Bombyx mori: one gene and its partners. The protein of the gene in region 3 purifies or fractionates together with the protein of the main gene of each other region. This does not show direct contact. Links are inferred from orthologs where the notes say so. Each region holds a gene or a part of one and is shown on either strand. Other genes may lie near its edges. The genes, in order: golgi SNAP receptor complex member 2, Golgi SNAP receptor complex member 1 and BET1-like protein.

Region 1 (8,359 bases), on a different chromosome or scaffold from region 3:
CGGTGAGCTCGTCCACCCAACTAAGCAATAAATAAAAAAGCATGCAACTTGGTTTTCTGGTTCAAATTCTTTTATAACTAGGTAGACGTCACTTTACCGGATCTTTTCTATACACATAGAAGTTCAAAGTAAGTTATTCAATAAAGATAAAAACTCGGAATTCAATGAACAGATATAAAGAAGTCGTTTTTGCACCGCTTCAACCTTGCGGTGTTGTAAATGTCCGCGGTGTGCGTATATTTTTTGGCGACAATTATTTAATTGTAATTTAATATTATATGTAGTAAGTCCGGACTGGTAGGTGCCTCTCTGCTGCTCATTTCTATGAAGCAGTCGTGTGCCTCAGTTTGTACCTTTATAACTGTACAATTGACACCGTTTCACTATCGCCTACTGGTTCACATTATAAGTTTGTAAAATAAAAAATAAATAGTGCAATCAATATTTAAATAAGGTAGTAAAAGATTTTAACGAACACCATTATACGTTGACCATAAATTCCGAGTAGTGTTCCATTGCGTACTAAACAAAGGACCGAACCCCGAATCCCGTTTTTTTATTATTATTTTAGAACCGAGTCTTTTTGTCATCATCGTTTCAGTAATAACCGGCATGCGCGGCACAACAAAATCCTTCGTTTTCCATGGTCCACCGTATTTTTATTAGCTATTATCTCAATTTCATTTATTTAATTTTTCTAAATTAATGAATAATCATCCAGTGTAAATGTTTTAAATTGTTATTATCGTTAACTTCCCATGCGCAGGAAGAAGTCAAGGCCAAAATAATCAACACAATAAATTGTAACCGAAAAAAATGTATATTTTGTGACTACGTTATTTTATAAATATACTTGTTTGTTATGTTTAAATGAGTATCGGCATCAGAAACAATGGGACCAGTCGCATTAACGCGGTTTAATTAACAGTAATAATTATCCCTGCTCGGAGTTCAAGTGAATTAGACAACTCATGGCGTAGACTTCAGTGTATCTAATCTAGGTTACTTGGTAGTACATTTACCGGTTATTAATTATCTTGTTTATTTGTTGCCTTGAGGTGATCATGCGTGTTCACTAGGTCGGACGGGTTAGTCTTGTTTTACAATCGAAGTGACGGAAATATACGTCTTTCTACACTAACGTCAACAGACCCAAAACCAAAATGTGGTAAGTACCTACCTAGAATATAATTTACACTGTATTTGTAAACTGATAATTTCAAACGAATTTTATTCTTGAGTATTCCGAACGCGAATAAAATTTATTAGTTTTATTATTATTATTCACTTTGTAATTTTGTATACGTTGTGCATTTAATCTGAATATTTTATTAAGATTGCATAAAATGTTTTCACACTATACAAGTGAACGCAGCGACACTCCGTGTTCAACTTGCAAAATACATGACGTCATCAGGGGTCATAGTCTAAGTCGCGCTTGTTATTAGAACGTTGGAGGGGCAAGGGTTACTAATCAGGTTCTTTAATTTAATTTGAGAAGAAAGAAGACTTTATTTTTATTTTTAAACAAAATTTTGGTTTCTGGTATATCATCAGCTTACGAATTCAAAATAACTATTTAATTACAAACCCAGCTCAAATAAGTTTGTTTTTAAATAAAAAAATTCAGGCTTCATAAATTTCTTTGTCTAAGCCTTTAAAAAAAAAAACTAAAAATCAAATCCAACTAAAAAATAGAAAATAAATTTTAGTAAATTTGAGTAGTGTAAGAATATATGTTTTTATTGTATAAAAAGCGTGGGGTGCATGGTATCAGTAGTTATAAACATTTTATGAACAGATATGAGTAAAGGGTTATTTTGATAATATCCTGAAAAACATCCCACGCTTTTTTACAATAAAATCATTTTTTCTTACACTATTTTTAATTCAAATTTATTAAAATTTAATTCCTATTTTTAGTTGGATTTTCTATAAAAGCATATTTTGTTAGTTTTGTTAAACTGTTATTTATTTTCATTTATAAATGTGATAAAGATATATCATCTATGGGATACCGATTCTGTGTCAATTTATAAAACTCTGATGGTCTTGTTCATACATTTTAGAGCCCCCAGTGCATTCCCTGAGCATAGCATTAATTACCTCATCTCTATAGTTGATATTTTCAAACAACTACACCCATGCGCAAAGAATATTAATTAATTGTCATAATCAGCATTGTGAAAGTTATGGTTATATAGAATAGGTACAAAATTATTTATTAATATATATGTACTTAAATTAACAAAAGCATTACCAGGTTGACCCTACATTATCTATCAGTTCTAGATCATACACACAAGATTTATTGAAATCAGTACCGACAAAGACATAAAGATGGTTAGTTGGCTTTTTTTATTTTTATTTATTGCTTAGATTGGTGGATGAGCTCACAGCCCACCTAGTGTTAAGTGGTTACTGGAGTCCATAGACATCTACAACGTAAATGCGCCACCCACCTCGAGATATAAGTTCTAAGGTCTCAGTATAGTTACAACGGCTGCCGCACCCTTCGAACCGAAACGCATTACTGATTCACGGCGGAAATAGGCGGGGTGGTGGTACCTACCCGTACGGACTCCCAAGAGGTCCTACCATCAGTGATTACGCAAATTATAATTTGGCGGGTTTGATTTTTATTACACGATGTTATTCCTTCACCGTGGAAGTCAATCGTGAACATTAAAATTTGTTGAGTACGTATTTCATTAGAAAAATTGGTACCCGCCTGCGGGATTCGAACACCGGTGCATCGCTACATACGAATGCACCGGACGTCTTATCCTCTAGGCCACGACAACTTCTAAAACAACATAAATTTGGTGCAACATAAATTTGGTGCAACATAAATTTGCCTTAGAAATTTACAAATTTAGAATAACAATTTTCTATTGCACTTGAAAGTGTTTGACTGATTTCTAGTTGACATGGTCATTGTTCTGCCAGCTATATGTATCTGCTTAAATTTGATAGCGATGAGCCATGGCCATAAGCTGCTTACCCAGATATATGAAAACATTGCGAATCGAGATAAATTAAAATTATGAAATCAAAGCTAAACTTACTATTTTAAATAAAATTTACATTATTTGACTTTAAAAAAGAATAAACTACAAGTGAAAATATAGTTCTTATGGAACTCCAACTACAATTAGTTGTGATAAGTCAAAATTACAAATTCCAATTGATCGTACCTGTATGCAACATATCATCGACATGTCTATGTGAATTCTGCAAAGACGCTTGCTCTTGAGCTAAGTAGTCTACATTTATTTCTGTGTGATCATGTCCAAAACGCCGGTTCAAAAGTTGTTCCCTTTCAGCTAATTCTTGTTCCCGTTTTTGTCTTTTGTTTTGGGCATTTATAAGAGAAGCCTGTGGAGTGATATGTTTTCTTGTTTTAGCAAAAATCTGTCTCTGTCAATTGTCAGAAGTCTGTGAACAATCACATTGTCAGCCCAAGCTACATACATACACATTGGCTAATATACACACAGTACTTTTTTTTACCTGTATGTGTTTGTTATCATACTTCAGCTGGTCCACTCTCATTTTAGCCATAGACCTTTGATTTATTGGTGTTTTAAAAACATAAATATCTAGTTTTTCACAGTTCCTGGAGAATACAAATAAAATTTAAGTTTGGTTTGATCTTATTATATGTATTTTATTAACATTTAAATCTAGTTTGTCTAATAGTAAAATAATAATATCATTATAAAATATGTACAAATTGATGTAAATATGTATATTTTTAATGTACGATTTAAATTATCTTATAAATTTTACAGTTAAGCAGAAATGCCATTACGTTAAGTGGTTCCCAAGCCAGTTAGCTTGTAAATTATTAAATATGAAACAGAGAATTTAATGATCATAAGTTTTACTATTAGCAGTTTACAGTACATTTCAGATAAGAATAAAATACAAGCAAATTAATGTTACTTACGCATTGACTGTGTTTATCTTTGATTGAATTGCATTTTCTATTTGTTGGTGATTGGCTGGATCTCTCTCTAATTTATTAAAAAGATCTGTAGTTTCTTGTAGCAATTGATTTGTCTGATGGTATAATGTTTCCATATTGGTAATGTATTTTTTTAAATAGGATTTCAAATAATTTCAGTGGTCATTTATATTAAATTATTCATAATCACGTAAAATGTTTTCTTAAAGTTTTATATTATCGTATCAACGATAATAAATATTTATACTGTTTAAGTTAGGTAGATTGTGAACCTTTTCGAAGGGCAGCATTTGACGTGATCAAATCGTGACGACACTGACACGTCTGACACATGATGTGTCACACACATGACCAGCGTTGCCAACTCGAAATTCGTCAAGGTGGGAGATAGGTTTCTACAAGCTGGAAGTTTCCAACAAACCCTACTATGAAAAGTTGGTAGATCTACCACCCATACTTTTCAAGTCTTTTAGAGACCCTCCAATAAGAATCTGGCATCCTTAATTTACTTTTCGATTGGATAAGACATATTTGAACTATTTTTATTAGAAATCCAATGATAAAACAGAATTACAGGCCACTAATATTCAAAATATTAATAGAAAATAGTGATAATTGAAAAGAATAATAAAAAATGTGTGCGTGTACTAGTGTACACACGTAAGAAGTGAAACTTATTTATGGCCTTATTTTTCGAAAAATGATCTACATGCAACTTTCTAGAAATTGGTTAAATAAAGTTAAATTAGATAAAGTTTAAACAAAAGGATTTTATTATCATAGACATGAATACAAAAAAGATGGCGCGTAACGGAAAAATGTGACGCGTAACCGAAAAACGTGACGGTAAATTTTTTTCCAACGCCGATAAGGAAGTTTCACTTCAATAATAAAAAAAATGTTTCATTATTATTTTCATGGAGGTTTGATTTGAACTTTTTGAAAACTTCAAAAGTTGGTAGATTTTTGCTACAAAGTGGTAGGTTTGATTACGACACTAAAAGTTGGTAGAGTTGGCAGCACTGCATGTCACACATCACAAATTTCATTATACAATTCTTCGCTTTGTTCGTCCATTATTTAGACACAGAAAATGCAGCCCATACTGCCAAATATTTTATAACATAAGTCGAAGTCATGACTTTTGTATGCGATGTGAATGATCTTTGGACATTAAAACAAATTCAAAATCAGAACGGAATAATATGAAATTAATTAGGTAAGGTAAAGTAACATTGTCGGTCTTGGAAAAAATGATGAGGGTGAATGAACGTATTAAAAATCCAAGAAGCCACATCAAGCGATTTGGTTTGATTTTCCCAGCTTGTGCAGCTTATAGATGCTAGTGATTAATAAGGGCTTATATTTAAACCTTACCTTACATTTAAACCTTGAAAAAGAAACACTGAATATCAAAATAGTTATCTTCTATAATTAGACAAGTAAATAGAACATACTCTGCTTATAGGTAATTTTTATAAAAGCCGAGTAGATCTGAGAAACAAAAATGATAATTATGATGTGGTTTTCAATAAAAAGATGCGATGCGATGCGATTGCGATTTAAAGACTAAATAAAATAGATCAGAATTTATAGAATATATTAAATTAAATGAAACGAGATGAGGTATCATTAAATATTCTCAGTGAAATGACGGTTATTTATTGACACATTTTCAATGGACTTTTTAGAAGATCCCGACAAGCTACATGGGAAAAACTGCGGCTTGATTCATTTCCCTAATTAGTCTATTTTTACAGATGCTAAACAGTTAATAAGCCGTCGTTATTACACTAATTATGAAAAATAAAATAATTCTCATATTGCCAGAAAATTTCAGCAATTTTTATTTATTTTGTTCTGTTAATATGTGTACACTCAACTTTTGTTCGGTCGTTGGTTTGTTCGCCTTCGTCATCTTGACCATAGACAATAAGAATCTTGAATCTTGACATCAGTGAACTCAAAAACATTAAATAGTTTTTTGTTCAGTGTTTAATTGTGTATCTTCGGACCAAAAGTTTTGATTCTAAAAGTAAATAAGAATTAACAAAATAATGGGGGACGCGTGTCAAGCTTGTCTAACACGGGTGCCACATGCAACCCTTATCGCTACAATAATGTGTTGTCTAGGCGTGGGTGTGTTTTGTGGGACCATGTACCGTGGATCTGCACTCTCCATCCTTATGTTCGACGAAGTATTCCACTTTCGATTGATTTGGATTGAAGCCCTGCAGATGATATTCATTGTGGGAAGTGCATGCATGGCAGCACTAGGATTTATGTTACTTTGTCTAGGCTGTTTGACTACAGGTGCAACTCGCCAGAAAGTTTATCGGGCGTGGAGAGCTCGGGTCGGTGGGAGAATATCGTGTGCCGTTTTTATGATCATAACATATATTTTGACCTTTGTTTGGATAGTGTTGCTAGGATTTCTAGTAATAACAACATTTTTGTTCACAATATTCTGGAAATTATGTTCAAAACCAGAAAATATTGTATCATCAACTTGTATAGATTTCACTCAATTCGACTTCATGTTTCCTTCAACGGTGAAGCAAGAAGACATGAAAATATGCGAACCACACAAAATAAAACTTTTTTGCAAAGATTACGTTGAAAAAGCAGAATTTATGTTTATCCTTGCAATGGTGTCATGTATCTTAGTCATATTGAGTTTAGTGCATTATTTGATGTGCTTATCAGCTAATTATGCACATATCCGTGATCATGAAAAGTTCCAGGAACTTCAAGAGCTACAGTACTTGACCAACCCAGACTTGCATGCCTCTAAAGACCGTTTCTAGTATATGGCCCGCGCACCATTGCTGCGCTCACTAGAAGCTACCACAAAAATGTGACACGGTTAAACAGAACCCAACAATTAAATTCAACAAGTGTTCATTATTCAGTGAACAAAAGACTGACTATCAGTGAATTATGTGTAGAAAATAAGAGAAAGAAAAATGTAAACATATCACGGCTGATAAATATAAAAAATAATAGTTTTAGTTTTGTATTTTGTTACTTCTAACATTCCTTTGGTTGTTTAATTGAATTTTTATGAATTTTTATGATTTTCCATTCTATTATTGTTGTTTGTATGGCATAAGACATAAAATATGTGTACTTAATGTCTATATTATCTAATATAGTTTAAATTGAGTATATTGCATTTTATCATAGAACTTAGTACAAATATTACTAGCTACATTACTTAGTACAATTTTTATGGGCTCCGGTAACCAGTTAACACCAGGTGGGCTGTGAGCTCGTCCAACCACCTAAGCAATAAAAAAACAAATAACAGTATATTGAATGGAATGTATTATTATTTAAGATGATCAAAATTGTCAATTCAACTTTATAGTCTACTATGTATGTTGAGCAACAGTAGTTTAGACTGAACTGACTTCCCATAGATTAGACTGAACTGACTTCCCTCTATTCTTTTTTATGTCAATTGAAATAAACATTATATCCATAAGATGGAGTAAACCTATTAGCAGTTCATTAACATTGTAGATTTCATTTCAATTTCAAATTGCTGCTTTTGGGCCTGTATCGTACTGTATCATACAGACCCAAAAGATACATACAGTAAACCTATCACAAAATATGTAAAGGTGATTTTAGATGATTGCCATTATAATTTTAATAACAGTTGTTCAGATACTTCGTTAATAATGATAAAATTTTCAGAAGTACAAAATATTTTTATATCAACAGTCCACTATGGTAAGGGAATGTGTGTTAGATTATAATAATGTAGCGTTCTAGATTTAATAGTATTAAAGTGAAAGTTTTCATAATTTGTTACTGCTGCATTTTGAATACGTAACTCAATTTTTAATCAAATTTTATCCCACCACATATTTTTCTATTAAACCTTGCAAATTTGCACAATTTTTATTAATGTATAATAATAATTTAAGAAGCTTTTTTATGCTTATTTGTAAGTTCTACAGCTGTTTATGGCAACTAAAATTTTGTTACATTTATATAAATAAAATAAGTTTATCTATTTTATATATAAGTTTTTTCAATGACTTGTTTCAACCCAGAATAGCATTACCTTTTTTTTTTTTTTATTGCCTTTGTAGGCAAACGGGCATACGGCCCACCTGATGGTGAGTAGTTACCGTCGCCCATGGACTTCAGCAATGCCAGGAGCAGAGCCAAGCCGCTGCCTACCGTACCTCATTGCCCTTTGTTATTTCAATTATGTACTGTAAATAAATATAAAGACAATCAAAATGATTCGAAGTAATCAAAGCAGACAATAACAAATGTTTAAAATACCTATGATTCCAAATGATAAATAAAATTTGGGTCACTTTATATTATATTATATAATTACTTATTTACTGTGGCTTTTGTAATTTGTAC
Region 2 (7,559 bases), on a different chromosome or scaffold from region 3:
GCTTCGCTTCCATTAGTTTCTCATTGCTCCTGTATGGCAGTAACACATTTACCTATCCTATATTTTATTTTTAATGAAGGATTTTGTAGATTTTCAGAAACCACAAATTGATAAAATTTAATCAATTTTAATAACAAATAAGGCTTGTATGATTTTTGATTTTTTGTATTTAGTCTTATAATAATTAAAAAGTTAAGCCACTTTAACAACATATAAGTTTAGGGGTATCCGCTACAAGATATCGATAGTTTCCATACACAATTTTTTTTTGTCTTAAAGTATCGCAGTGATTTGTTGCCCATTTTGGGGTTAAACACGCCATCCGACGGGTAGAGTGTAGTATGTTTCTAGACAACACCCAAAGACACGCGTCAGTCGTTCGAGATCTGTCACAGAGCATATAACCATTCTTTGAGCCCATCCCTATTCTTCACACTGTCAAACAGAATTTATGCCAATTTAATATTATTGTTTGCATTTATTTAGCGTTTAGCATTTGAAATGACCGACGTCCAGTTAATTGAGTTGGTACAAATACAAAAAAAATACAAAAATTCTTTATTTTCAAATACGAGTCAAAACAATACATTGATTGGAGTCTCCTTTTAAGCGTTGGTAAAACGATATCCTGTTTTATATGGCATGAATTTGATGCATGAGCTATATACAGGGATCATACAACGAGAAATAATGCATGGGAATAAATTGCCGAGCAAATGAATATAAACAGTAAGTTTTATTGAAAATATTATTTATTACTTTAAAAAAACAAATTGATATTGTATACGCCTATATAGTTGTGGTAACTTTTGTGAGAGCTATTTATTAAATCCATAGTACACAACTATACATTTCCACTGCTGTTAGCTGTTTTCACTACAGATTGCTGCTATGTCGTGGGGTCGCGTGTTGGTAATGTGCACGGTGTAAATCGGGTGTCGACACGTTGCGTTACGTCGCGTTTTAATAATGTGTTTCCGCCTTTAAGCTTCACCACACCTACGACTGGACATCGTATTCAATATGGTTGTCAAATCGAGGCGTCTTAGTTCACTATAATACGATACCTTAAAATCTAGTTAACTACAGTCTTTATCGGATCACAGTTTCAATGGAAGGCGTACATGAGCAAGAGGAAGGTGCAGACCGCTACCACCACGCCCACGATTAGGGAATCGCGACGCTTCCTAGCGTTTATACGGAACATCAGACTGTTCAACATCGGGAATCTGGGGACGATCGAATTATCATTACAGATACAGTGTAAACTCGAACTGAACAGTTCAGTGTGCTTAGTGCGAGTTTTTTAACGTTCTCGATCGCGTAAGTTTGCCCAGTTTTGTATGCAGTTGGAACAGCGCCCCTAGCGGTAAAAGTACGCAAACGATTCCATTCCATACAAATATGAGCTAACTTTTACGCTACCGAAAACGTTACAAAACTCGCACTAAGCACACTGATACAGATACAGTGTAAACTCGAACTAAACAGTTCGAGTTTTTTCACGTTCTCGATCGAGTAAAAGTTGAATGAATGAATGAATAAAAAAATCTTTATTGCACAAAAATATTGTACAAAGGCGAACTTAACGCCATGCAGGCATTCTCTTCCAGTTAACCCTCGTTGATGAAGTGAAAGATCCAATAAGTGCGTAATTGTGTTAAAGTTAATACATGGCGATAATTTGAAGAATTATAGTAGACATGAGTAAAATGAACACTAGGTTTATATGTAAGTTAACTCAAATTTGTATGGAGTTGGAACGTTTGCCGCTAGGGGCGCTGTTCCAATTGCATACAAATTTGAGTTAACTCTTACGCTATCGAGAACGTTAAAAAACTCCCACTAACACACACTGAACAAGTTTTATATTACTTTTGGGAGGACGTCTTGAGAGTCCGCACGGGTAGGTACCACCGCCCTGCCTATTTCTGCCGTGAAGCAGTAAGGCATTTCGGTTTGAAGGGTGGGGCAGCCGTTGTAATGTAAATACTGAGACTTAGAACTCATGTATCAAGGTGGGTTGCGGTGTTCGCGTTGTTGATGTCTATGGTCTTCTATGGGAACGGACCCTTATCCGTTAGACCACAACAACTTAAAAAAACTTTAATCTGTATGTACATGTGTGTGTAGGTTCACCTAAAACTCGAAAAACATTCTAATCGATATGAAACCTCACCCAATATTTATAAGTCGATATGACCAGTCCGAATATAGTTACGTTAGTGACGGATAGGTGGCGCTGGTGACAGTGATTTCTATTTTTTTAACCATAGGTCGAATTGATATGAAATTCATCAATAAATATATAATTCTACTGTACGTGTGTATGTCACTGAACTCTTAAACGGCTGGACCGATTTGAATGATTTTTTTTTGTATGCGTTTATGTGGCACCTTGGATGGTTGATTCACAATTCAACCCGGCAGATGACGTTGCAGTCGGTATCTAGGTTATTTATATATACTGCAACTAAACGGCTGGATCGACTTGAATGAATTTTTGTGTATGCATCATTCATTCATTCCATTTATTTGTGCGTGCAGAATAACGTCTGTCGGGTCTGCTAGTATTTACGAATATATAAGAGAATGTGTGTGTGTGTGTGCGTGCGTGCGTGTGTGTGTGTGCGTGCGTGCGTGTGTGTGTGTGCGTGCGTGCGTGTGTGTGCGTGCGTGTGTGCGTGTGTGTGTGTGTGAAATTATCTAACATAGTTAGCTTCCTGAATTGTCTTATAGCTTTTATGTTTGAAAATAAAAAAATGTTTTAACATTTATTTACCTGTTGGCGATATCGTTGAACCTGGTCTGCATCCGTTTGAAGGTTTGCCGTTGCGAGGAGAGGTGGTCGCGAGCTTCCATCGCTATGTTTATTTGTTCATCGACTAATATGTGGGAACTGAAATGGGAAAACGACCAAATTAATACTCTGGCCAAACAAAAAAGAAAGACAAATACTAAATGTTCAGTTCTAAGAATCAAAATCAAGAGCTGTTCCGAATGTCTATTCATCATCTTTTTATTTATTTATTGCTTAGACGGGTGGACGAACTCACAGTCCACCTGGTGTTAAGTGGTTACTGGAGTCCATAAACGTCTACAACGTAAATACCGCCGCCCACCTTGAGATATGAGTTCTGAGCGGTCAGTATAGTTACACTACTCATTAATATGTAATACGCAGTAATATTCACTGCGCTACTGGTGTAGTAACACTATGACGCACTTTAATCTTCACTTAGAATTGTTTTCTGGTATCGTTTTTTGCGCTTGAATTTAAATTTATTAACTAAACACGTGTCTTATTAATCCTTGCTCGATATAGATTTTTTTAAGGAATTTTAGACCTGGTAACTAAGACCTTTAAGTCATGTCTTATTTTAATTTATATTCTTATTAATATGAAAAATGATTATATGGAGTGAAATGAAATGAAGTCTGAAATGAAGAAAATGAAGCGAATGACTGGGATGATTAATTTCTTAAATTAATCATCCCAGTCATTGAATGTCAAAGTCAAATTAAATGAAATGAGATGAGATGATATGGAATGAAATATAATCTCAGTAAAATGGTGGTCATTTACTGAGATTTTTTCAGTGCACTTTTTGGAGGAACCGGAGAACAACGGCTTTGTCTCTTTCTTGGCTTTATGCACTTTCACAGATATTGAACAGTTAATAAACCACCATTAATTTACATTTAAGCCCGAAGAAACACTAAATAGACAAAATAAAACAAATCACAACGACTTCACTCCTCGCGTTACCGCCAAAAAGTCCCTCGATATAGAGACAACAAAGGCATAGAATATACAAAAAAAGAAAAACCGTATATCACACCTGTGCAAATGGTTGGCTTCCTTCGCGTACTGGTCGCGTCTGCTGAGTCCCGCGGCGGGCGGAGTCGGGGAGCCGCCCCGAAGCAGCTCCTCGCGCTCGCGCCGCGCCGACACGCGGGCTGACGTGCGGGAGTACTCTTGCTGGTAGTCCTGCGAAATTATGGTTTGATACGACGTTTCAGTCACACGTACGTTTTTACTGGTGGCAGAACCTCTTGTGGGTCCGCACGGGCAGGTCCCACCAGGTATTTCAGCCGTGAAGCAGTAATGCGTCGATTTGAAGGGTGGGTCAGCCGTTGTAACTTACGGTAGGCGGCGGCTTGACTCTGCCCCTGGCATTACTGAAGTCCATGGGCGATGGTAACCACTCACCATATCAGGTCGGCCGTATGCTCTCTGCCTACTAAGGCAATAATAAAAAAAATTTTAGACTTTAGAACATGGGCAACAACCGGCTCGCGAGACTTTTTGAAAAAACCCAACGCGAGATCTCATACAACGCGAGACCTCATAGAACGCGAGGCCTACTATAACGCGTTGCCCTCTATAACCTGGGACCTCATACAACGCGGGAACTCATAGAACGCGAGGCCTACTACAACGCGAGACCTTATACAAAGCGGAACCTCATACAACGCGGGACCTACTACAACGCGAGGCCTCATATAACGCGGGACCTCATACAACGCGAGACCTACTACAACGCGAGACCTCATACAACGCGGGACCTCATACAACGCGAGACCTACTATAACGCGTTGCCCTCTATAACCTGGGACCTCATACAACGCGGGAACTCATAGAACGCGAGGCCTACTACAACGCGAGACCTTATACAAAGCGGAACCTCATACAACGCGGGACCTGCTACAACGCGAGGCCTCATATAACGCGGGACCTCATACAACGCGGAACCTCATACAACGCGGGACCTCATACAACGCGGGACCTCATACAACGCGAGATCTACTACAACGCGAGACCTCATACAACGCGGGACCTCATACAACGCGAGACCTACTACAACGCGAGACCTCATACAACGCGGGACCTCATACAACGCGAGATCTCATACAACGCGAGATCTCTTACAACGCGGGACCTCATACAACGCGAGACCTAGTACAACGCTGGACCCCCTACAACGCGGGACTCCCTACAACGCGGGACCCCATACAACGCGTTACCTCATACAACTCGGGACCACATACAACGCGAGCTCTCATACAACGCGGGACTTCATACAAAGCGGAACCTCATACAACGCGGGACCCCATACAACGCGAGGCCTCATATAAGGCGGGATCCAATACAACGCGGAACCCCATACAACGCGGGACCTCATACAACGCGGGACCCCATACAACTCGGGACCACATACAACGCGAAACCTTACACAACGCGGGACCTCATACAACGTGGGACCTCATACAACGCGAGGCCTACTACAACGCGAGACCCACTACAACGAGAGGCCTACTACAACGCGAGGCTTATTGAGGCACTCTGCGGCGCTCCCGTTTGGTGCCGCGCCCTGACCCGCGAAAACATCGCCGTACTGCGATGTTCGCAGCGTGCAATGGCGGTCAGGACGCCATGACACAGTGGATCACACATTGGCGTGCTGCACTAGATTCGACGAGTTTGAAAAGTTTGAAAATGCAGAACTATGGTACGTGAGAGTTTACAGTACCCCTACTATCAGTAAGCTGAGAACTCTGCTTTCCATTATCTGGTGAATACTGTAGACTCCTATTCCAGGTTGACACCATATAGGCAAAATTACATGCAACTTTGCCGGGGTTTGAATTCTCCAGGCACAATTCTATCTATTTCTGCAACAAAGCAGTCAAGAGTTTTGACTGACAGGCTTATCTACTAACGTCATTCACATTATGCTTTGTATGGTTTTAAGGTGGGTGGCGCATTTACGTTGTAGATGTCTATGGGCTCCAGTAACCACTTACAGCAAACAGGTAACGAGCTGGTCTTCCCATCAGCAAGAGTAAAGTAACCTATTTTTTATATATTGCGTACATGGGTGTATCATTTAGTAATCAAATAAACATATAAATACAAACTTCTACATTCATAATACATATTTGTTAATAGAGATAAGTTAAGCAAATTTGACAGTGTTTTTAGTTCCACTTTTATCCTAATGTCACAGAAGGTACATTGAAAGTCTCCAATTAAGATACCAAACCAATTAATTAAATTTAAACCAATTAATTAATTTATTTAATTTTAAACCAATTAAGTCATATTAATTAATACATGCATACAAACCATTAGTATTTCTCTGTGCCGTTTGATTGTGTGCATTGTGGCTGCTCCACTTGGGGCTATGTCGGCCATTTTGTCATTTATTGATGATAACTGAGAAATTGGAATTATATTATCCATAAACAAGTATTAAGATGGTATCTGATTAATTTGATGTTTAGTTTTGTTACTTAGATGTCTTAATAGTAACAAATATCTCATTGTAAGCTCACAGCTGTATTATCTATGTTTTCACAGATATTTCTATAAATAAGCTAGTAAAAAGTTTATTGGATGTGAACAGTGCAAGACATGTCATTGTAGTGATCCTTCAAAGAGGTCAATGATTTCATAGATGATGATAATTTAGTTTTTGTATTCATTGCCAACTGCTGCATTATATTTTATTAAAGACGAACCATTGCCCTCTATGATTTATATAAGAATCAGACAAACAGCTATCTGACACTTGACTCACTTTGGATCTTTTGTAAAGACAAGTTAGCTAGTTTAGATTATATATAACAATTACCTGATTAAGTAGCTGCTGCAGCTCCATAGACATGGTATCAAACATATCATCACTGTTTATGAGAGGGGCAGTCTCTGAATTAATATTGGCCGAACCTGAACTGATACCCAGTTTGCTAAATGCGACAAGTTTCACATCTATGTCATTTTCTAGGGTCCGAGCTTGCCTTCTTAGCTCTGAAATAAAAAAGGGCATACATGTCATACACAATACATAATTAAAATAATTTTTACGGCTCAACCACACATTTTTTATTTACATTATATAATTTCCTGCATTTTGAATACTTTACAGTTTTTGTTATCTAGTTTCAGTTTAGATTAAACTGTTTTGGAGAATATACGACGACGACGACGAATTTTGTTGTTCGGAACTTGTATATATGCAAGTTTATCTTGAGAATGTCGTAAGCGAGATTCAGGCATCTGTCAAATATCCTGCGTTGTATGATGGCTACCCGCCACACCGTAAATGTTATTTTAATTATTTCTTTGAATTGTAAAAACAAATGAAAATTTATAATACAATATGCTCAATATCTACAAAATAATGTAATGATGTGTTTTATATCATCACAAAGATAGACAACTAAAGTATGATCTATTACACCAATCATATTACCTTTGATAATAATTTTTAAATATTTTCCGAATATCTAAATTATTAAGTTACTTATTATTATTTATTATTAATAAATAATGACACCATAGGCATAAGGTAAAATAATACCAGGAAAAGGTTAACAATAGCTCAAACTTAAATACTAACAGTCATATTCAAGTATGAAGACTATAATTTATTCTTATTACTTATTTTATTGATGAAAAACACAAATATCACATTTTAGCTATCACTTCAATATGTGTGGTTATCATTATAGTGGTACTATAGTATTGAATAAAACAATTAAATGTCTAACAT
Region 3 (6,439 bases):
GTGTAGGAGGAAGCGCAAACGGGTTCGCGCGCTTTGATGTCTGTTAAAAAACCGACACAGCTTGGAAAATCACGAATGCAGCGAAAACTTTGCATAATCATTCGCAAATGTCGTCCTACACCTGCGGGTTTGCGTATTCGTGCGCATGTGAGTGACCGGTGTAATACTAACGGCTCAGTGACTTTTTTGGCGGGAACGCGAGGAGTGAAGTTGTGTGATTTGTTTTTATTTTGTCTATTTAGTGTTTCGCCAGCTTTAAATGTGTAATAACGGTGGTTTATTAACTGTTTAATATCTGTGAAAGTGCACAAATGTGGGAAAATGAAACAAAGCCGCTGGACGTAACTTCTCGGGATCCCCCAAAAAGTCCACTGAGACAGTCTTAGTAAATAACCATCATTTTACTGAGATTATATTTCATCCATATCATCTCGTTCGTCTCATCTCATTTCATTTCATTTTATGCCATGTTTAATAATATTAATCAACTTCATTACATTTCACTTCATATTATCATGTGCAGAGTTAATTACTACATTAATCAAATTACTTTCTCAACATCAATTATCTATACCGTACCACGCTGCTAATTTCATTCAAACTTACACTAATATTAATAATGGTTAACACGGACAGTTTCCTTCGTTTTTTATTATTCATAAACTGTAAATAATTAAAACGGCGAATTATAAAAATATTATTATTTGACACTGGCTAATACACAAAACGTGCCAGAACCAAAAAAAAACTAATAAATTAATGTGTGAACTAAATAGAAAGAGATGTGAGATACATAATACATATTACTTAGTGAGAAAAGATGACCTAAGTATTTGAAATAGGCACTAAAATTTATAAATAAACATAAATGAAAATACTTTTTACTTGCTTATTTCTTGTTATTTTTGCCAAATTTTTAGATAGCGCATTTTGATGTTTATATTAGCTACTTCAGAAATTGAATGTATTTGCTATGGAAGGTAACAAAATACAATTCTACTTTGAAGAAACAAGTTTAAACAGAATAAATCTTTTTAAAGAAGCTTTATCCAGTGCAGAAAACGGAAGAGTTCTTTATATTCTCCATGAAGAATTAAGTCAGCTACCCACATTATCACAAGATTTAAATTCAGTGAATAGACATTTCATGAAAATGATTAGTTTTCTTTATGTAGAAACTATTGAAGCACTTATAGACAGTGTTTCAACACTACCAGATTGGCAGAATGTGCCCTCAACAATTATTTTAGATGACTTAAGCAAGTTCTTCAGTAGAAACAACCAACAAAACATTTATGGGATTATTGCTCTGTTGATGGACAGTGTACGGATCTGTTCTGTTTCACTCGGAAAGCCATGTAATTTATTTGTTGCTGTAAGTAAAGAAGTTGTAGGCGATGATTTTTGTAAAATCTTAAAAGAATTATACTTTTGATTGAAGTTTAAAAACTAGTTAGCATAATTATTATAGGGAATACTTACTAATGATCACATATGAGCATCATTTTAAGTATTATACTTATTTGTTGCATAAGTAGGTGAGTGAGTTAAGTGGATACCTAAGCCTATAGATAACAATCAAAACTTAAATACCGCTGACTATCTTTAGAGCTAAGGTTAAAGGCTCAATTGTATTTTATTATGGCTGTCCTTCAAACAACATATGGTTACTTAGTGAAGGAAAAAATTAAATGTTGACACCTACCTGTGCAAGCTAGTACTTATCATTGAAACATATTGTAAAAGTTGTGGAATAAGTGAAATAAAATAAACATTTAATTTATACATATGTTTTATTTACATTTCAACATATACAAAATTTATTTCGAAACACTTATAATACACAGGAGTGATGGATGGGTAATGAAAATCATCTAAATTTTAAAATAATATACAACAAAAAGAACACAAAAATGGAGAAGAGGAATAGATAGAAAATATAATAGTTGTGGTTCCCTTTGCCAAGCCTTAAAACTCTTCCCATGGTTTTTCCAAGGAAACCTGAGCTTCTGTCAACATCATCATCTAATCCACGCAAAAGTTTTTCTTGGTCCCTTACTTCATTGCCTAACTCAATGGAAATGTATTTAAGTGAAGATATCTTGCCACTGAGTTCTTCAGCCATTCGTTCATTTTCATTTTCGATAGTATCTTCCGTAGCTACTCTGGGCACTGGCTGATAGTGGTAGCCTTCGCGGGCTCGCCTCATATTCGTTCGGCCCGCCGTTTTGATTAGCAGCAAGACACAAGAGTGATGATGATAATCAGGTCTTGGTTAATTACGTCCTTCGTTAGACGTTTATTTAATTTTGGATCTACTTGCCGCCTATTTACTATAAAATATTGTTTGTTTTTGTCAATTTGTAATAGGATATGAAAAAAAAACACTAATTTAATAATCTGGACACATTGAAAACATACATGGTTTACAGTAAGTATATAATTTGCTTTTATGTAGTTGTGTTAGATGTGATAGTCTCCTACGTGTTTATCTGACTCAAATGTCAACTGTCAATAGTAGTAGTAGCTCCATTTATCCAACTGAAAAGACGAAGGTCTCCTAATATTATGCATATTTCGTTTTATGACAAATTTAATGGACCGCATTGAAATAATGTTGATTAATTTGAAATTTTAATCATTTGAGATGAAATTAAATGAAACTTGATAATGCGGGTCTCAGTAAATGGTGTTTATTTACTTAAACTTTCTCAGTGAACGTTTTGAAAGAACTCGAGAAGCTACGTCCAGTGGCTTTGTTTTATTTTCCCACAATGTGCACTTACACAGATACTAAACAGTTAATAAAGCACCGCTATTATAAATTAACAAAATAGAACAATTCACACAACTTCGCTCCTCGCGTTCCCGTCAGAGTTCGACGTGCGAACTAGCTCATAGACACAACTCACTGGGTTTCTCACCGGGTCTTTTCAGTGGTTTACAATTCCGATCCGGTGGTAGATTCTGCGAAACACTACTATTGCTAGGGCCAGTGCTAGCAAACTCTCAGATTGAATGACCTCACCTACCAGTCGGTGATTAGCTGGAATAGACCCTTAGGGCTACCAGCGATTAGGTAGAGAAAAAAGTCTTCAACGCTCATCTTTCAGTCTACCAGTCACATAGTAGAACTGAAATCCTACGAGCTGATGAAGGAAAATACTTAGGGCTATCCCGCAATAGGCGAAACACAGAGAATTCTGTGTTACAGTACCGTGACACGTAACTAACGATGAGCACGACCACAAAATTAAGGAACAAGTGGAAGCATATATAAAAACAAAATATTGCAATTCCTAATACTCACGAGACAATCAGCTTCAGAACTAAAAAATAAATAAATAAACCTACTAATATTGATTTTTTTTATTGCTTAGATGGGTGGACGAGCTCACAGCCCACCTGGTCTTGTGGTTACTGGAGTCCATAGACATCTACAACGTAAATGCACCATCCACCTTGGTTTCACTGCAAAAATAGGCAGGGTGGTGGTACCTACCCGTGCGGACTGGACACATACTGCCCAATTTCCCAAATTAATCGTGGGTTTTCACAATTATTATAGATAAATTAAAAAAATTATATTTAGAAAGTAGATTATGCAGATAAATATTTCTTGTTTACATCGCAACGTTGAGGCACTTTGATTTAAAAAATGTCGTGATTCGTACTTTATTTAAATTACAATTTTCAACGTTGATAATAATATCAGAAGGCCCTTTAAAAAAAAAACATGGAAACTGGTTTTTCGAACAGTTTAATTAAGCATTGGCGCACTCATATCGCATGAAAAGTTTTTAATCTGTTCAATCAAGAAAATGTATTTCCGAAAATGCTTTCAAAGTAATTAAACGATAATTCAACCTGCAAACTTTTTCTTATCCCTTTTAAGCCGCCGTTAATTAGCTATTCCCGGGCCCTACAACGTCTTTTTAACATTTTCTTTTGATTTTGCACGCGCATGAACTTCATGCTTTTTCGACTTGGTGCTCGACTTCCCATCTGCCGCTCAGAATTCGTGCGCTTGGAAGTTGGAACGGGTTTACATAATATACCTTCTCTTGTGAACTTTTAATAAGTCGCTGAACGCAGAACGCAAAATAATTAATAATTTAATAAAACATGCTACATACATACTCAATTATTTTATTTTTCAATAATTATTATTGTACAAAGTTTTAACAGTCAGTAACTATCGAAGAATAAAGCTTTCTTATTACTACTTACATAAAAATTTAATGTGCCTCGAGGGGAATGTATTGCACATAGCAGTTGATTTCAGAACATAATATAGAAAAACTGATTGAACAAAAATTATAAATCTACATATACATAAGATTGTTGTTAATATTTTCTACTGAATTAAGTATCTAATTAATTTCAGTTTGTTTTTATTCACGCAGATATAAAATTAAAAAAAAACATTATTCAATGAATGCCTAGCTTTTTGCTGCTAAATAATAGTAGTCATATAATCCTTGAAACAAACTCAAATGATGACAGTAGCATATGAATAATATTATGTGATGAGTAGTCCATCAAGAATATGTATAATTAAATAAGATAGGCGATTAGCATTTAGAATATGTTAGAGAACCATCCCAGCTTCGCTGCAAAGTACTTATTATGTCGTAAACTATCATTCTGAGGGAGAAAAATCAAAACAGTTTGACGATCGACTACCACGTACCTAATCGTTACCACTGCGACTAACGCATCAGCTTTAGAGCCGGTATTCCTAAAACATACTTGGAGGAAGGTAGTTTAGGCAAGAAGACGAACATATTTAAAAAGTCAATCTACCCTCTGTATATGAAAACTAGATAAGTCTGTTTTTAAATTTCACGAGGTGACTTAATTAACGTTTTATCTTCTGTCGCGACAATGTTGTTTCTCGGATAGTGAAAAAACACACGTTTTCCCTTTAAAAATGTTTACGAAACCGAATGCGACTTTTTATAATACCCGAAAATCAACGATTTGAAGCCTCTGTTGAGAACCTCTGCAACGAAATCATAGATCCAAAGATAATGGATTCAGCTATTAAAAAAGTATTAACTGGTGAAACCCAGAATACGCTTCGGTATTCTGGGTTTCACCCACTAATACTACTATACTGGGTACTACCCCAAATAGTATGATAAACATAGATTTTTTGGAATTACTGGAGTGCCATATACTCTCCTATGATAATACGACAGAAACATTTTCTACAGCGCGAACAAAAATTTTACCAATTTTCATCACATTCCGATGAAAGATTTAGAAAGGTATGGAGGACAAACAAAACTCGAGTTCAGAGATACTATAAGCGTTTAAAAGTTTAGGTTATAAGCTAGGTTTGGGTTTTAGTTTGCTAAAAATTTCCTTGAATAGAAAGCATTATAGAATTTTGTCATAAGCAAGGTTTCTCACCTAATATGTCTCGTCTAATATTGATATAGTTTGTTCTGTCTAGTTTGAAATGAAAACGCTTACAACTTCTTTATTTCTGAACAATCTTTTATTTCGATTCCCTTGATTCGCTATTTACGAGGCATTAAAGATATTCAGTCAACTTGCCTATTTCTTATTTAACATATTAAGCTCTACAACAAAAATCGCACACGAAAAATAAATCCAATAAAAATATTAGTTTCTTTTGCAAAAAATATTTAAGCCTCATAATTAGCAGTGTTAATAGAATGCATTTCATAAGCCTACACGTCCCTCTTACAATTGTCCGTCCGTTAATTATAATAATATGTACTCAGAGAACCTCTAGGAAGTAATGACCTAGGTTCACTAATTTTAGGCTGCCGTTTGACTGTCATTTAATTTGAGTATTCTACCCAAATAACTATTTTGCTTTAGTGCTCAAGTGAAGCCTGACGTTATTTAAAGCTATAAAAGCAAACCTCTTAGTCAAATTTAGTTACCTGTAGGTAATCGCTCTGGATTTCATGACGTTTGATTTTTCTTCACATTTTAATTTTATTGATGTATTAAATCATTCCAATGAAATTGTAAATTCATAATAAAATTTTAAAATTTTAATGATTAATGATATTATTGTGTCATCTTCAGCAGTTCTCTAAGTAGTTCATAACTTCTTCGTCGCCTTCGTGAAAAGGCATTATCTATTAGAATTATCAGAAAGTATAAAAAAGTATGTACATAAAATAAACAGTACTTTAAAATATGATAATACAATTTCTAGATCTGACTGTTTTCGATATTGCTATCTATAGCTAGCTACACATCGATCCTAATACAGTAGAGTAATTAGTCATTCACAATGTAGCCTTGATATATCCAAATGAGTTATATTTTTATATGTACACATTATTTACATAAAACAATATACAAGAAAGTACAAAATTTAAAACTAAAATGAAATAACCATTTAATTTTGTCAAATTGCAGTTAAAAAGTTAAAACTGTCACCATTTTAAAT

The links.
Region 1: the proteins of BET1-like protein (region 3) and golgi SNAP receptor complex member 2 purify together in Homo sapiens (affinity purification with mass spectrometry; 3 studies listed by BioGRID and IntAct, with this or other methods). This does not show direct contact. The link is inferred for Bombyx mori from reciprocal best matches to the Homo sapiens genes BET1 and GOSR2.
Region 2: the proteins of BET1-like protein (region 3) and Golgi SNAP receptor complex member 1 purify together in Homo sapiens (affinity purification with mass spectrometry; 3 studies listed by BioGRID and IntAct, with this or other methods). This does not show direct contact. The link is inferred for Bombyx mori from reciprocal best matches to the Homo sapiens genes BET1 and GOSR1.

The regions. Positions count from the first base shown.
Region 1 is NC_085121.1:9,513,199-9,521,557, forward strand, and holds the start of golgi SNAP receptor complex member 2, read right to left. Parts: upstream 4,346-8,359; 5' UTR 4,087-4,345; coding exon 3,953-4,086; intron 3,620-3,952; coding exon 3,514-3,619; intron 3,379-3,513; coding exon 3,198-3,378; intron 1,169-3,197; coding exon of another isoform or gene 1,164-1,168; exon of another isoform or gene 246-1,163; intron 1-245. Other genes in the region: neuronal membrane glycoprotein M6-b, read left to right, coding at 6,028-6,777. UniProt on the Homo sapiens protein: Involved in transport of proteins from the cis/medial-Golgi to the trans-Golgi network.
Region 2 is NC_085122.1:10,010,091-10,017,649, forward strand, and holds part of Golgi SNAP receptor complex member 1, read right to left. Parts: intron 6,815-7,559; coding exon 6,639-6,814; intron 6,221-6,638; coding exon 6,131-6,220; intron 3,992-6,130; coding exon 3,843-3,991; intron 2,900-3,842; coding exon 2,783-2,899; intron 1,230-2,782; coding exon 1,109-1,229; 3' UTR 1-1,108. UniProt on the Homo sapiens protein: Involved in transport from the ER to the Golgi apparatus as well as in intra-Golgi transport. It belongs to a super-family of proteins called t-SNAREs or soluble NSF (N-ethylmaleimide-sensitive factor) attachment protein receptor.
Region 3 is NC_085114.1:8,350,437-8,356,875, reverse strand, and holds BET1-like protein, read right to left. Parts: upstream 2,493-6,439; 5' UTR 2,210-2,492; coding exon 1,871-2,209; 3' UTR 1,778-1,870; downstream 1-1,777. UniProt on the Homo sapiens protein: Required for vesicular transport from the ER to the Golgi complex. Functions as a SNARE involved in the docking process of ER-derived vesicles with the cis-Golgi membrane.